Oryzias latipes: one gene and its partner. The protein of the gene in region 1 binds, or shares a complex with, the protein of each later gene. Links are inferred from orthologs where the notes say so. Each region holds a gene or a part of one and is shown on either strand. Other genes may lie near its edges.

The links.
Region 2: tctn1 (region 1) and b9d2 share a complex: the UniProt entries of both Homo sapiens proteins name them as parts of the tectonic-like complex. The link is inferred for Oryzias latipes from reciprocal best matches to the Homo sapiens genes TCTN1 and B9D2.

The regions. Positions count from the first base shown.
Region 1 is NC_019868.2:27,629,364-27,631,816, reverse strand, and holds part of tctn1 (tectonic-1), read right to left. Parts: coding exon 2,333-2,453; intron 1,275-2,332; coding exon 1,172-1,274; intron 1,064-1,171; coding exon 951-1,063; intron 706-950; coding exon 685-705; intron 362-684; coding exon 227-361; intron 143-226; coding exon 17-142; intron 1-16. UniProt on the Homo sapiens protein: Component of the tectonic-like complex, a complex localized at the transition zone of primary cilia and acting as a barrier that prevents diffusion of transmembrane proteins between the cilia and plasma membranes.
Region 2 is NC_019863.2:10,016,925-10,019,741, reverse strand, and holds b9d2 (B9 domain-containing protein 2), read right to left. Parts: upstream 1,453-2,817; 5' UTR 1,287-1,452; coding exon 759-1,286; 3' UTR 604-758; downstream 1-603. Other genes in the region: poc1a (POC1 centriolar protein homolog A), read left to right, coding at 2,188-2,272, 2,367-2,538, 2,723-2,817. UniProt on the Homo sapiens protein: Component of the tectonic-like complex, a complex localized at the transition zone of primary cilia and acting as a barrier that prevents diffusion of transmembrane proteins between the cilia and plasma membranes.

The DNA of each region.
Region 1 (2,453 bases):
GGATGTGCTGCAGCACCTGGACAAATGTAGCCTGGAACTCCTGCTCCAGCAGCACCGAAGCTCCGCGGATGAACCCCAGCACCACGGAGACGGCAGCGTTCACCACCTCGCCCGCCGCGTTGTACCGGATCACATAAACTACCTGGAGAGACAAAGTTCTTCAAAAATCCAATCGCCCAAAACGACTCTGACGTTTCCGAAGAACGGAGACGCTTCGACAGTTCACCTTCAGCGCCACACGGGCGCAGACGCCGGTGCTGAGGAGAACAGGACGCAGGTCCTCTCCGGCGCCGACCGTCAGCTCAGACTGAGTTCCTTCTGTGGACCGAAGCACCACGGAGGATACGTCCACAGGAACCACCTGGAGCAGGAAGTGGGACAATAATGCGTCTGAATCATCAGCCCGTCCGTGCTTCAGTGATGTTTCACAGCTCTGATGGGAGAAACTGGAGACCTGAACTTCACGAGACGAGCCTTTATACCGAAAAGTCTAGCTTTTATTTTAGAAACCTTAGAAGAAATGATCAATACTTAAGACTTTAAAAATAAAAAAATAGATCTATCAAACTGGAAACAGGAAGTTTGCAGCTGAATCGTACATGAGGGAAACTTTGGAGCACAGCTTCAGTTTAGGCAAAAGAGAAAATATTATCTTCACAAACAGAAATGAGGAGAAATACTCACTGCTGCATCTTGATTCTTCCCCTGCAGAGCAGAAAAAGCGGCAAAAGGTTTGCTATTCAGTCACACTGGACACATTTGGTGGAGGTACATGAAGTTTCAGCTTCTCGTGTATAAAATAATTCACAAAAATAATAAATTATTAGTTAAAATGTTAGAATAAAGTCTAAAGTATCTGAATTATTCAGATCTAGCATCACTTTTCAGTGGAGAAGAGGAAAGAGCATTGAGAAGCTGGCAGTGCTGTGCTTTCAGGACGGGAGCCTCACATTAAGCAGCAGGATGTTGGAGTATGAGTCCATGCTGAGAGCAGGCAGGGAGCTGCAGTCCGTCTCCAGGATCACGCGTCGGGAACACCGGCTCTGCTGATCCTTTAGGAACGCTGGGGGAAAAAAAACAGCAAAACACTCGATGTCAAAGAACAATAAATAAAAAGAGTCAAACCTACATGTGAACTCTGTGTGCAGACATGAAGCCCGCTCAGGTTTACCTGCTGGACTCTTGTCCACACAGGCAGCAGTGATGCCTGCAGCAGGCAGGTAAAACACCCCCCCCTGCCCGCTCTCGTCTGCAGTCCTCAGGACATCTCCAAACTGGAACCACAGCCAGAACCAACAACCTGATTCAGCACATTAACCACTTTCTACAACACCACAAGAGCGCCACCATGTGGTATTGACTGTTAGCGCTGCTAGCATGGTTAGCATCTTTAGCAGTGTGTTTTTCTGTGTCTGAATTCCCTAACTACTAAAAAAACTAAGCAGAACTAAAATACTAAGTGCCCTGAATTATAAAAGACACCATGCTCACTACTTTTTTTTCTTAACGGCGGATATGACGTCATCGTTAAGTTAGAATCTATGAAATCAAGTTCATATCTATTTAATATGAGCGTTTTGTGACGATTATTTATGAGTCCACTGTCTTCTGAAAATAAAAACGTTGATGATTTATAAAAATATTACATTTAAATACATTTTTTTGGGCAATTGTTCCGATGCAATGCATTGTGGTATATATTCGCACTGGATTTTGGAATTGTAGGTTATGTCCAAACTCCCACCCAAACCCCTACATAGTGCACTCAATAGTGCGATCGCCATTTTCTAGTGCTGTCCAAATCTACAATTCCAAAATCCAGTGCCCTAGAAATTTCCCGGGAGTCTCAGCGAAAAACAGGTGGGCTTCGACGCTCAACAGATCGGCGAATATAGACCACAATGCATTGCATCGGAACAATTTTTGCCAAAAACAAAATCTATTTAAATGTATTTTTTAATAGTTAATGATGCTGAAGCACTGCTGGCACTTTCAGCAATTAATTAGCACTTTTAGCCAAAGTGAACATTGGCTGTGAGGGGCGAGAAGCAGCCGCTTAGCCAATGAGGGCACGTAAAAAGAGAGCGGTGTGGGGGCAGTGAGGGTGGGAGGGGGCAACAGCTGCTTGGCTAGTGAGGGCCGGTAAAAAGCGGACCCAGACGGCGGGTTGTGCCTGTCAGCCATACAACACCAACCACAGCTTTACTACCGAAGCTTGTACAAGTGTAAAACAGCAAAGAAAGTAAAGCCCCCCCCCTCCCTCCCTGTTTTTTAAAAACAGAGTTCAAACTATTGAGCAAACGCTCAAAACAGCCACTGAGTCAAACGTTACCTGGTATCCAGGTGAGCTCTGGACTTGAGCGGGAAGCTCCTGGTCGCTGCTCTGAGCGCCAAACATGAAGCTGCTGAACCGTTGAAAGAGAGTCTGGAAGTTTCTGTCGGTGGGAAGAGCC
Region 2 (2,817 bases), on another chromosome or scaffold:
AGCCCTGCCCACAATTCTAACTAACTCCTGACGTTCTGCAGAAACTACGTCCTAGTAAACAACACAGGTTTCTTTATTTTGGCTTAAAACTGCATAATCATAATTAAAAGACCACTGGGAACGCTTTTACAATACATAAAAAATGATTAGAGCGCGTCTTTAGATCTTTTTCAAAGCTCTTTAATCTATTTTACAACATTGCCATTATTTGAGGGCTTTCTTTTTCTAAATTAGAATACACTTTAACTTGAGTTATTATTTTCTTTTGTTGCTATGTTACATTGCACATCACATAGATTTAAAGTTTAGTGAGCATCACTAATGCCTTTTACCTTTCAAGAGGAACTTGTATTTTGCATTTAAAATCAATATATCAGGATAAATGTCCTGTAAAATGTCATACTATTAGTAAGGTCATCAGTTTTGTGACCTTAATGAGAGGTCATCTTACTTGAGGATTTAAGGTACATTTTTTTTAAATATCAAAATAAACCAAAGTCTTTGCAAAACTGTCTCATAAGGGGAATGAGGGGAGGACTGCTAGAAAATGTTATTAAAACCAAGTTAAAGGTAAAAACTAGGGTACAGCAAAAAACAACCAACTTCGATGACAGTATTTTATTTACACATATTGGCATTTTGAGTGATAATTGCAATTTGAAACGTACAAAAACGTGGAGAAGCGTCATGTGTAAATATAAAGCACGTGCCAGTTGAAATGTCATGGGTTTTTCGGAGTTGCTCCGTCATGTCACGCATCAGCTGTCGACACCATATTTGTCAAAGTGTCTCATAATTACACCGAGCTCCAGCTCCACAGTTCCCATGGCCTCGGTCTGCAGTCGGTATCTGTCCGCTCCGCTGTAGATGAGGTCCGGACTGCGGAGTTGTGGACCTCCGCCGACAAACATTTGGGTGATCTGTTCCTGCCAGGAACCGAGCGGCCTCCACGTCACACACTCTATCCGGTGGGTTCCGGGGCTGCACGGGACGTGGCAGTATCCGTATCCGTACAGCTGGCAGCGCCCGAACGAGTCCTGGTGCCACACTTGGAGGTGTAGCTTCGGCCAACCTTGCAGTCCTTTAGTTGCGAACTGTAGATCGATTGGGTGACTCCAGTAGGCCATATTACCCGTTTGGGGGATGTCCACTTGGGTCTGGCCCTCCTTCAGCCCAGAGAGAAGCCGCCATGCTCCTCCAGTATGAACTCCCCATTTGCAAAATAGACTATTTTGCGGAAAGCCTCTGGCCCCGAGGATTTGTCCTATAATATGCAGCTCTGCCATGTTACAACAGCCTTCTTTGACCAAAACATACGACTACAAAAAAGGCTCCTCCACCCTTCGCCAGTAGTTGCTAGCTTAGCGGCTAGCAACAGCCGCCGCACACGTCTCCCTGGCAACACAAACCGGTTTGCCGTCAGCGCTAAGATTTAACCCTCCTTTCTGACTGTCAGGCACAGCTCTCTGCTTAATGTGATTCCGTTTCTTACAAAGCAAGATAATAGGAAACCACTGGCGGGAAACTCGTGTGTCCCGTTACTAACCAGATTTTATTTTGGGGTAAATAGTCGGTGAAGGACAATAATTAACCACAATATTATACATTTGTATCCTGAAAAACTATACTCAGGGTTAAAGTTTCATGGTGTCTTGTTTTCATTTTTGTTCTAACTTTAAAAAGTAAACTTATACCTGCTCATTTCAAATACATTTTTTTAAATTGCCTTTGTCTGCATGTGTGTGTTTTAATTTGTATCAAACTGGAGGAGGTTACAGTGCCTCATATCAGAACACAGGAAAGAATAAAAGGAAATAGCCCCTTCAGTGGCTCTACTTTGTAGTACTCTGCAATGGTGGTGATATAGTTCTTTGCATTTATCAGCGAATACATTGCTATGTCATAATTTACGACATATAATCATAATAAATGTAACCATGACCATTTTTCTATTGTGATCAAGAGTGCAAAACAACATAGGTCTTTTGTGTACATATATATTTTATGCATTCTTAATGATTTTGATTGTTTTGTTGATTTTATTTAATTGTCCTAATGTGTTGGCTCACCCAAAAACACTTTTGATGCTTGAACCTATAGCAACAAACTTTTATTGGTTTTTTCAGGTTATTAAATACATTTTTTTCCTTGGGCTGATTTGGTTTTCTCTCTTTTTCTTTCAAATAGTCTGATCCCACCCTTGAGAGGCATTTCAAGGGTCACAGGGGTGCAGTGACGAGCGTAGATTTCAGTTGCAATATGAAACAGATTGGTGGGTATCTTCTCCTTGATTTTCCTAATTGCCAAAGTGTTTTTACGTTCAGCAAAGTCATTTTCTTTCTTGTCTGTGTTTTTTATTCTCTCAGCCACAGGTTCTGTGGACTCATGTGTAATGATCTGGAACATGAAACCTCAGATGCGAGCTTATCGCTTTGAGGGCCACAAAGACGCAGTCACGTCTGTGCAGTTTTCTCCATCGGGTCACATGGTCGCTTCGGCCTCCAGAGACAAGACTGTACGTCTTTGGGTTCCCAGCATGTAGGTTTTTTTTTCAATTTGTCATTTTGTTTACCGTTACTTTGTTTATCCTTCATAACAATAATGCCTCATCAGAGTAACAAAGCTGAAATCACTGAATGCCACTCATCATTTTTAAGTCAAAACTGGTCAAACCCACTGAGTTTTGTTTGATTTTCATTTGTGGTGATGTGTGTGCTTACAGAAAGGCGGACTCAACAGAGTTCAGGGCTCACACCGCCGCTGTGCGTTGTGTTAACTTTTCTGACGATGGACAGACTCTGGTAACAGCATCTAACG